Linked DNA regions of Styela clava. The main gene of each other region encodes a partner of the protein of the gene in region 3 in a complex. Links are inferred from orthologs where the notes say so. Each region holds a gene or a part of one and is shown on either strand. Other genes may lie near its edges. The genes, in order: eukaryotic translation initiation factor 3 subunit K-like, eukaryotic translation initiation factor 3 subunit G-like and eukaryotic translation initiation factor 3 subunit C-like.

Region 1 (3,605 bases), on a different chromosome or scaffold from region 3:
CGGGCAAAACGACGTTGGAAAGAATAAAGGACAATTAGCACTTTTTCTTCTGAATGCTAAAAAGGACAGAAAAGCTTGATTAAAGGACGGTTGGCAACGCTACGTGGGAGATAATTACAGTGATACCTCGGTGCTCGATTGTCGCCGAGTGAGAGACGTCACCTAAACCGCGCATCTCGGCAGTCGGCACTTGATATACAGGGTCAGGGGTCAGCAAGCACACGCTGCTTGTCTAAGTCTCCTTCGACAACGTCCTGACGTTCGTGTAATGCAGTAATGTCTAATTCTAATATATTGTATAACCATAATGGATAAGCGATATTTACGAACATCAGAGTTGCAGTCAGCACAGGGGTACCGGTATTATAAATGTATAATGTTAAAGTGATAGCGATATTTTTGAATGTTAAAGTTATATCACCGCGTGACGAAATAATAAATTCTCTCTCTCTCGCGTGAAGTTATTTATTAATATTCAAGTTTCACTTACAGTGTACAGACTTACGGTACCGTACTCCCGTACGGTATGTTACAGTCACCAAGTTACCGACTCGTACTTCGTCCAGCAATATGTCAGTACAAACTTTACAAAAAAAATACAGAATTCAGGAAATAATGTAGGCTACCCTGAGTTGCAGTTATCGGTGTTTAGGAATTTCAAAATTATAATAACTGCAGAACTAAGTTAGCTGTGTAAATGCATAGAATTTGGTACCGTACCGTATAACAGTATAATAGAATTTACAAAACCTGAAAACGGTCTTGTATAGCAGTGCGGTATTTACGAATGCATAAATAGGAATGCCCAATCAATCTTTTACAGTATTATACACCGAATAAAGCTCATTTTTTCATAATTAGCCTATATTAAAATCTTGTTTCAGTGTTAAGTGCTTGGCTCGGTGGTGTGGCGCATCGTGCTAAGCGTTAGGAATACGCTCGCCACCGCATCTCTGATTCCTCTTCGTGGGATCGCAGGTTCGAATCCCATGCGGGGATGATCATGTGCGAGAGGATTGCTAGACTCCTCGCCGCCGTAGCCTGTAGGGTGGTTCAGGTAACTGCTGGTCGGTTACGGCTTCTTCCACCATCAAGTCCATGCTTCCGAAAACAAATAACTAACCAATCCCATACCCGACCTGGACTGGTAAGCCGGACGAGAGGCTGTGGTTCGCCATATGATTAAGCCGTCTTATCGGCTCTCCTCTCCCCCGGAATAAACATGTGAATCCTATCCTAAAATGTAAAAGCCAAATTCCATATGTCTGATTGTCAGATAATAAATTCTTAATACCACTGACTGACTGATACTGATACCACCTCAGGGTGTAAAAGATTGGCAGATTGGTTATGCAGTATCTGGAAAAATTCTTGAGCTTATTTCTGAACTGCAGAAAGAAAGTGTGAAACTGTCCCAGATTACTAAATCCATTTGAACAATATGGCTCTTGATGTAATCATTCTAGCCTTATTCGTTTGGCTGTTTTATTATTATAATAAAGCTGTCAAGTTACATTCTGACATTTGTTAACTTGCTACATATTTTGTTTTTCTAGTTGTATTTTTACTAAAAAAAATGGATGCTCCAATATCACCAGAAACAATATCTAGAATGTTGCAAGGAATAAACCGATATAATCCGGAAAATTTAGCAGTTCTTGAAAAGCATGTGGACTGGCAAGTTCATTCCGGTTCTTATGACTTGCCCGCAAATCTAGCTGTTTTGAAACTTTATCAGTTCAATCCAGCTTACTTTCAAACACAGAGTGTTTGTCAAATCTTACTGAAAGCTCTATCCACTATTCCAAGTCCAGATTTTTCTCTCTGCACCAGTCTAATTGACCAGAATCAGCAAGAGGACCCAAGCATTGGTCGCCTGCTTCTTTTACATCATTTGATAGAAACTTGCAAGTTCACTCATTTTTGGCAGGAGGTCAATGCAACACCGGATCTAATCAGTGGAGTAGCAGGGTTGGAAGAAGCAGTCAGAAAGTTTATTTGTCATGTTGTGTCTGTGTCTCATCAGAATATTGATATTGGAGACCTTCGTGCGATTCTCGGAGACTTGAATGAGCATGAATTGGAAGTATGGATTGAAAGATGTGGTTGGAAACAAAAAGAAGGCGGTTTAATTTCTGTGGCAAATCATGAAGAGAAAGTTAAAACTAAAAATATTGTGGAAAAAGTTGGATTTGAGAAAGTCCAAAATGTTATGGCATCAACTTGTTGATATTTAAACCTTTTATTAGTTTGCCTGCAAGTTTGATTTTCTGGTTGGGGTACAACAGATTCTGCCAGATGGCTGGACAAAAGTGATGATGCTTTTTTCCCATGAATATATACTATCAGAATAGCAAGTTCTAATATCTGTAATACCTTTGAAATAAATTACATTGTCAATCAAAGTTTTTAACTGTTTATGTATAGAATAATACAACTTTTTGGAGCTTTTTAAATGCCGCAGCAATCTTTCCTGATATACATACTCTCCAGTTTTCTGTTGGTGGATAATCAGGAAACCTGGATTTTGAAATATTTTGTTATGAACGTCATTTTGTGATTTTATATTGATAATTTAAGTTTATAGTCTGACAAAAAAGCATGCATACATCTGGACTGATGTATAAATCATTTTGTTTATGCTTAAAGTTTAAATTGTTGCAAAGATCTATACCTAACAGTTCTTTGGTAATGATAAAAATAAATAATCTACATCCAATCATAATTTAGTTAAGATTGTGTTTCCCCTAGATTGTATTACCAACTTTTGCATTAATTAAATTCCTTTTTTTGAAACACAATTTTTCCAAGAATTCGGGTTATTTATTAAGATTTTTCTTACCTAGCATTAGGTGATGCTGAAGCAAATTATGAATTTGTGTATTATGGATTACACTATATATAAGCAATAATTAAAAGCTATTATAAGACAGTTGACTTGTAACTTGCTGCTATTTGGATGATATATGTTGATGAATTATATGATTGCTGTTCTCGTATGGTGGTGAATGAATGTCATTACTTTTTAGATTGATAATTTTGTTGTGAATTTAATGATAATATTCTAGATAAGACAATATGGCACAAAGCCTTGAAGATATGGGTATAGCTGGTCATTCTTTTTTACAAGAAGCATTGACCAATACAACTGATCCTCTGGGTGCTATAGAGGAATTTCAGCAAGAGAACAGCATTCTGTTGCCTTCACTTCAGCCAGCCTTGCCTTTGTTAGGTAAAAGTATATAAAAATATATAAGGTTAATTAAACACTCTTGATATATTGGGGGTGAAAAAGTTTTTAGTTCAAGTATGAATTTTTTGATTTTTGCAAAAGTCTTTTTCAAGAATACAAAAATTAATATTTTCACTGTAAAGGTTTTTTTAAAGTCAATTCATGTAATGTGATGCACGTCCACTTAATAAGGTAATTGTGACTTATATCTCAGCAAAGTGACTGACTATTGGCTTGCATGCCAAGAGCTATGTCACGATTTGGGTCAAATTATGGCCTTTTTTTTACGAAATAGCCATGTAAATTACGGTGTTTGGAATAAAATTTGATGTCAAGGCTGATAGAATTATGTTGGTATATAATTTGAGTGTTC
Region 2 (3,758 bases), on a different chromosome or scaffold from region 3:
TATGGCCTAACCCTGACCTGGTACACATACTACGGGAGTACCAAAATAAGCACAAGGTGGAATTTTCAAGCAGATTTTAGCAATGTAACTTTTTTGTTTTACCAAAATCACTGAATGAATTTTACCAAAAGACGATGATATTGTTGTATTTCAAAAATTTAATAAAAAAAAAATTACTACAGAAATGCCTAAATGTGTGTTTTTGTCATTGCAACATGACAGAACTAGTAACTCAATAGACACTAATGTTTTGACTATTATATTTTCATGAGCATTCAGTTAACAAATCCATAATGCAAACCTCTAGCTCCCCGAGATGGCATAGAAGATCCTCTTGCTGTTGCTCCAGCTCTCAAACTTGGAGGGACATACTTTCCACCAGTTCCACCTCCTGGTCCCGCTTGAGTTGGACTATCGACTTCATCTTTTTTTTCTTCCTCTTCCTTTTCAGCTGAAAAATTAAATACGATTAAATCTCAATGTTGAATTTTTCTTTCAGTGATCACTACAAACCAGACTATAACAAAGCGGAAATATGTGCCACGAATGTATCAGGATATCTTTGAACAATAGATATAACAAAAAAATACAGATAAATTTTTAATAAATATTCGACACAAAACCAAACTTATCCAAGATCATACATGGCCTATTTCCTGTCTTGAAATTCTTGAAAAACATGTAATATTGTAGTTGATTACGAAATTTCGATAACATAGGATCTTCTTGATCATGAATTTCCTCCTGTCTACTGTTAATGAACTGCAAGTTCACATCCTGCATGAAGAACAGAATAGATTAGAAACCCAAATTTCTTATGATGTATTTTCCATTCTATACCTCAAATAATTCCTTTGTAATAATTAACTATATATGAATTTACAGTGTAAAATGACTAACTTCTGAAATAATGGTGGTCGCACGATTTGGACCGGGAGGATCCTCCTTTGATACTCCAAATTTTGGTAAATGTTTTCTTCTGGCAACTGACTTTGATGTTTTCTGGATTTCAATCTTGTAGGTACGAACAATCTGAAATTTCATATGAAAAATTTCAAAACTTGTATCTCAAAGCAAAGTTGCATGGATATATTGGATGGATGAACAAAATTAAAACTGACAAATTAGATAAATCTTTATAATTTGAGGCATTTGGGAAATACATTGATTCATGCGCAATTTTAACCCAGTATTTCGATACTTTTATTGTTGCACTACTATTATATTTATTCAGCATATTTATTACGACTATACCGTAAGTTTATTTTGGCTGCATAACCCTGCATTATTAGCGCAAAAAGGAATGACAAATTTAAAAAAAATTTTAATAAAGAACCAGATAGGCAAATATAACTTGGGAATTAGAATAATACCTCAAGTAACTTGATTTGGAAACAGTTTATAATTTAGGCATAAATTAAGTTCTCAATTAATCAAACATGGATAGTATATAATATATGTTTTCGTGATACACAATATAAAATTCCCATGGTTAGTAATATGCCTTTGGTTTGAGTCTATGTATTTGATAAATATATTTAGCAGAATAATGACAAAAAACCAACCTTAACTTTTTTTCCATCTTCGTTTATTTTGTATTCTGTGATAATTTTTGTGTTTCCATCTTTTTTTTCTGATGAAGGCGGCAGTTGATCATGTCCTAGTTCTTGTACCTCTGCTTCTTCTACTTGATCTGCCCAACTCGATGGTTCGGCAGCATCAGCCCAACTCACTTTACTAAATAATAAAACCAAAGTTTCATATGATTCTGAATGTTTTTTAAATTTATCAATATCATATTTCTAACTATGACCAATCTGATATTGCCAAAGATGACATTTGAAAATATTTTCTAATATGGATATCCCTGAAATATGACATAGCAGAAATAGGGGTAACGGAAGATAAAACTTTTTGAATGAAAAATTCAAGATTTCAAGTGATCCGTTTCTACAGCCAAGACAAAACTACCGGCACCACTGCATCATTGGAACAGGCACCAGATATGTCACGTAATTATACTGGCCATGCTGCATAATTACTATGCATTATTTTATCAAAGAAAACTTTATTCTTACTACAGACAATATTACTTGAGAAAATTATTTTATTACTATTCAATCAAGCTTGTTTAAACTAATTAATTTCCAAAATGATGAAAGACATAATAAACCGGAAAATATCATCATCAAAAAACAAGCAGTATTCACTTGCTACTACTCTGATGAAAGTCAGTTAACAATGCTATAACATTTTTTAAGATTGGAATATGATTTGCTTCAATTATTAATTCCAATAGAGATGGAAATAAAAATGAACTTTTCAACAAATTTACACAATGGAAAAATATCAATTAGGAATTGAAAAAAAACTGCAACAAAAACATCATCATGGCACTGGACAGTGCAAAGTAGATGTTATTTGTTACTTATTAATAACCGATGTCCAGTAATATTTCGGTAATTATTTTATAAATATAAACTCAAAAACATTGACTATATACTGAACTGGGTCATGCATATGCTACGATTACAGAAACCAGAAACTTCATATTTTCCATGGCACATAGGCCATAGACCGAAGTTTGTTTGTTGACTTTGATACCTATGGTTGTTCAAGGTTCATGAGCAAGTCTTAGAAATAGAAGTTCCTTTTACCTGCTATCTTCAGACGGCATGTTCACACTGTGATGCTACTTTTTTCGTTGTTCCCTCTTTCAATTTCCATTTTTTTATATTATGTTTTATGTTAAATAAGTTAACATATTTGAAATAAAAAAAACATGTAAAATTGATATACATTAATGTAAATGATTGCTCCAATCACTTGAGAAGTACACAATACTGCATTTGGAATAAATTGTACTGTAGCATTCAACGCAATATAGGAATCGGCCGTCGTGCCAAACGTCCTCGCTTCAGAGACAAATTGAGTTTGTTTTATTGAACCAAATGTCGCGAATCGATGAACTGTGCCCTGTAACATTATATAACACAGTACGGTACATATCTCAGATGTCGCATAAAACAATACATAAAACAAACACTCAATTTGTCTGAAAAGAGGACGCAGAGAACCCATGCACAGTAGGTAATCAGAGGTCTGGAGGTGCAGTGGCGAGCGTATTCCTAACGCTCGGCACGATGCGCCACACCGCCAAACCGAAGTGAGTAGCACTGACTCGTCCTGACCATCGTTAAGAAAGAATGTGATGACTAGCATCCCAGCTATCCTCTCGCATGACCCAGCAATAGGCCTACCGCGAACCACGCCAGGGCTGCCACTTTTGCCTGACTAAAAACATCTAGATTGACCTCGAAAAACATCATGATTGAAAAATAAAACATCTAGAGAATACATCTAGATTTGAAGTCATTAAATTTGATGAAAATCAACGAAACGAGAGCATTCAAAGTTTATTATATTACAGTATTACATAATATTAGATATCGAAGAAGCTAATATCTATTATACTATTTTCAGGTTGTGCGCCATCTTGGTGCACATACTTCTGGAGGTCCCTTTTTACCGAACCTTAACGCCAACCATATCCATATGGAAAATGTTCTAAATTATGGTACCCAAAATGTGTCACCAGCAGGGGCAGACCTGCCATTACAGCATTACTGGCTACATATGTTGGTTTGTGTTTTTAATTTGCTGCCGTGGTACTCCAACTCAAAACAAGGTGCCCCGAACTCATTGCAAAATTTTTTTCTGCTTCACACTGTTTTGCGCTCTTTCCCCCACTGTTCTGC
Region 3 (3,758 bases):
TGAAATTCAGTTTGAACATGAATTTTCTATACAGATTTAAACTGTATCACTTAAGTTATATATGACATGAAATGCCATTTAAATAATATGTTTGAATTGAAAACTGCATGTTCAGCAAAGTCAGGTATTTGAGTAAATTCCAAATTAACTAACTTGTATTGAATTCTAGATTCAACCACACTACAACATAAGGTCTATCGCTGGATTTTGAATCCCCAATGAATATGATTTATTTTTAACCCTGTCCCTAACCATAACTTGGGTAGGTAACGTGTTGCTAGACCTCAAGCTATCATTTATAATTCATAATATAAGTTGTTAATTTTGAATTTATTCAAATACTTGATAGTTTTGTACAACCTTGTCTGTTATGGTAACGAAAAATTGTTCAGTCTAAATATCAAGTTCATTATTTGTGTATATTTTCCTAAAGTTCTTTTCATTCTGGGCAATGTAAAAATCTTGGCGAGTTATCATTATTTTCATATTCCACTTTGGGCTCGACATGTTAAAGTTCAAATATTATTTTTTGCTTCATTTAACTCAATTAATATGAGTTTGTCAAACTGTATATTTTCACCTTGCTTGTATTGTATAACTAGACAATGACTTTTGAAAAACATATCGATATTATCATTAGGATAACAGTTCAGTATCATTCGTTATTCGAGTCTTATTATTGACCTCGTTGAAAATTACAATCTTTTATTATATTGATTAGACAGACCAGGAGAATATTGCTTGCTTTTTTCCACAAGTCGACTTTTAATGAAACTATAGGTCTTTCTTTAATTTTGAAAACCTATACACTTTATAATTTAGATGTTTAAAAATTCGTTTCAACTTATTAAACTTCTGTTGCTACTCATTAACATGACCAATATTTCAATTTGACAATTATCTACAATAGAACATCAATAAACATGATTTAAAATTTCAAGATACGTTTTTACAAAGAAACATAGTCAAATCTTGTTAATGTATATACCATGAGCATTCATATTATCAAAATAGGCATAGAATTACAGTTTACCATTCTAGAATTTTGGGATGATATTGATATGTTTTTCATTGTCTACACTTTTCACATGTCTCATTAAAGTGTTGTCTTAATTCGCCACATTGTTTTTTTTGCAATAGATTGTTGCTATTTCCAGTTAGAATTTTGGCCAAAATAACACAATTTTTGTGATCTTGTGGCTGCATTTTTCAAGAAGAAAATATGTCTCGTTTTTTCGGAGCATCGAGCTCCGATACTGATGAGTCCTCAAGTGATGATGGAATGGCGCCTGCACCACAGAGACCACAGTCAACTAGGTATAGTGGAATTCGTTATTAAAGTTTTATATACCACCATTACTATTTACATTTTTATATAGTGATTTGCCACCTTCATCCTGAGCAAGGCTCTGTATAAGCAGCCACTGATACGGGTATTTTGGAATGACACATGCAATCCTTTTTTACTTATCTGTTTCAAATGTTTAGTGAACTTAACGCTTTTGGGGTTTGTCACAAAATTCAGTTATCCCCATTAGAAGTATGAAATTCAGAAGAATCAGAACTCTCAATTCTGAAAATTTCATAAGCGTGACCCCCAAACAATTCCAATGTTACCCGCAAATAGTTTGTTGTATGCAAGCCTTTTTTAATTATAGACTGAGAATCCTTATGTTAATACTTTTTGTGATCTACCAAAAATGTTTGGTACTCCCGAAGTATGTCAACCAAGATGGCGGACACAGGAGCGTAGTATGTGTACCAGGTTAGGGTTAGGCCATAATTTCAGGTACAAACACTACAAGGGAGTTACTTGGCTAGTCCCCGAACTCATAATAGAACTAAAATAAAGAAAATTGGAATAAAATTATGGCCTAACATAACCTGGTACACATAGTACGCTCTAGTGTCCGCCATCCTGGTTTACATACTTTATGAGTACCAAATTTATACCTCAAATTATCACCATTAATTGTCTATAACTCATACTCTAACAAAAAAGAATTCAAATTCCTGTATCTAACCCCTTTGACTTGGAAATGCAACTCTCACTCAAATAACAATAAAGACGTTCCAACTGAGAGTCAGACTACACTATTCTGGTTTAAATTCAAATGGACAGCGGAATGTAGTATGTGTATCAGGTTAGGGTTAGGCAATAATTTTGTTTCAATTTTTTTTCATTTTAGTTCTATACTAGTTCGGGGACTAGCCAAGTGGTATTTGTACGTGAAATTATGGCCTGACCTAGTTCACATACTACGTTCCGGTGTCCGCCATCTTGTTTACATGCTTCGGAAGTATCTTTACTTTTGCTTTTCACTGACTCATAATGTTTTTACTTTTCCTAGAGTTTTTCTGATGAGTGATGATGAAGAAGATCAGAAGAGAGTTGTGCGAAGTGCGAAAGAAAAATCTTGGGAAGGCCTCGAAAATTTGATCAAATCAATGAGAAATGCAAGAAAGATCAACGACATGGTCAAGGTATTTCAATTTTTAACATTTTATGAAACATTTTCTATTTTTTTGTTATGAATAAAGCTGATATAAATATGCACAAACGGTAAGCAGTAAACGATACAGAATATTATATAGATATTAGAAACATTGCTTAACTGATTATTTATTTTCACCTGCTGCGTTTGGTTTAGTACTGTGTCACAAATTATGTTTCTCATCTCGTGTTCTTTATTGAAGCTCAGCAACTTTGTGTCAATTTCATATTATTGGTGGACATAGTGCGTCTTAGAGGGGTTGAGTTTGCTTTACTTCACTGAAAAAGTGTGACTTTGCTTTGAGTAAATTATAAAACAAACAAAAATGTGGCTGTATTTGCTAAATAGCGCATGCTCACAAAAAAGTCACTGGTATGTAAGGTGCTACACACTATTTTTGAAATTGCCAGAATCTTGCGTCCCTGCATGCCTACCCGATTCTTTCCGTGAGGTCATGAGTATGAATTCAAGATGTTAATAACCTGCGAGGTAGTTTATTTAAGTCACTCTCACTACTAGGTCACAAGTTGTGTTTAGTAATTACTTATCGATTTTAATCGGTAAGTATGTTGATAGGTATTTGTCTGTTTGTCTGTCTGTTAGATGCGGGCGATATCTCACGAAAGCGAGATTGAATCTGCTCCAGATTTTGCATGTGCATTCATCATATGCCGGACCAGAAGCCTATTGATTTTGGATGAATTATGTTGTATAATTAACGAGTTATTAATTAATTAGTGATAGGACACAAGCTGTCACTATGGAGTAATAGCGCTGTTTTGGGGGATCCCCTAACTTTCGATCAATAAGTCTTCAGTCTTTGACCGATATTCTTGTTTTCTTTTTTCAGGTTCTGGATGATTTTGACAATCTCTGCAAACAATATGTGAAAGCAAAAAATGTGATTGCAAAAGAAGGAATTCCTCCTTTCTACATCAGGAATTTGGTTGAAACTGAGGACCATATCAATGAGGTTTGATTCGTTTATTTATATTTTTATATTCATCTCTGAGGAGAGGAAAGCCAATAAGACAGCTTAATCATGTGACGAATTCTGTATTGGATTAAAGCCACTGTATTGTCATTCCCCACAAAATTCGAACCTGTAAACACACACAGGATAATCAGTGTTGCAATGACATACTTAGCATAATATACCACATTTCAAGTATATAAATGGCTGGAGCGCCGGCATTTCTTCATTCACAAAGATGCAATATTATTATTCGCACCAAATTCTTCTCTTTTACCAGCTATGGGAAG

Evidence for each region.
Region 1: eukaryotic translation initiation factor 3 subunit C-like (region 3) and eukaryotic translation initiation factor 3 subunit K-like share a complex: the UniProt entries of both Caenorhabditis elegans proteins name them as parts of the eukaryotic translation initiation factor 3 (eIF-3) complex. The link is inferred for Styela clava from reciprocal best matches to the Caenorhabditis elegans genes eif-3.C and eif-3.K.
Region 2: eukaryotic translation initiation factor 3 subunit C-like (region 3) and eukaryotic translation initiation factor 3 subunit G-like share a complex: the UniProt entries of both Caenorhabditis elegans proteins name them as parts of the eukaryotic translation initiation factor 3 (eIF-3) complex. The link is inferred for Styela clava from reciprocal best matches to the Caenorhabditis elegans genes eif-3.C and eif-3.G.

What each region holds. Positions count from the first base shown.
Region 1 is NC_135257.1:16,823,992-16,827,596, reverse strand, and holds eukaryotic translation initiation factor 3 subunit K-like, read left to right. Parts: upstream 1-1,542; 5' UTR 1,543-1,576; coding exon 1,577-2,230; 3' UTR 2,231-3,030; downstream 3,031-3,605. Other genes in the region: negative elongation factor B-like, read left to right, coding at 3,079-3,232. UniProt on the Caenorhabditis elegans protein: Component of the eukaryotic translation initiation factor 3 (eIF-3) complex, which is involved in protein synthesis of a specialized repertoire of mRNAs and, together with other initiation factors, stimulates binding of mRNA and methionyl-tRNAi to the 40S ribosome.
Region 2 is NC_135254.1:23,799,146-23,802,903, forward strand, and holds the start of eukaryotic translation initiation factor 3 subunit G-like, read right to left. Parts: upstream 2,813-3,758; 5' UTR 2,678-2,812; coding exon 2,658-2,677; intron 1,738-2,657; coding exon 1,566-1,737; intron 1,033-1,565; coding exon 901-1,032; intron 778-900; coding exon 645-777; intron 452-644; coding exon 302-451; intron 1-301. UniProt on the Caenorhabditis elegans protein: RNA-binding component of the eukaryotic translation initiation factor 3 (eIF-3) complex, which is involved in protein synthesis of a specialized repertoire of mRNAs and, together with other initiation factors, stimulates binding of mRNA and methionyl-tRNAi to the 40S ribosome.
Region 3 is NC_135250.1:3,241,920-3,245,677, reverse strand, and holds the start of eukaryotic translation initiation factor 3 subunit C-like, read left to right. Parts: upstream 1-1,133; 5' UTR 1,134-1,222; coding exon 1,223-1,317; intron 1,318-2,351; coding exon 2,352-2,484; intron 2,485-3,345; coding exon 3,346-3,468; intron 3,469-3,748; coding exon 3,749-3,758. UniProt on the Caenorhabditis elegans protein: Component of the eukaryotic translation initiation factor 3 (eIF-3) complex, which is involved in protein synthesis of a specialized repertoire of mRNAs and, together with other initiation factors, stimulates binding of mRNA and methionyl-tRNAi to the 40S ribosome.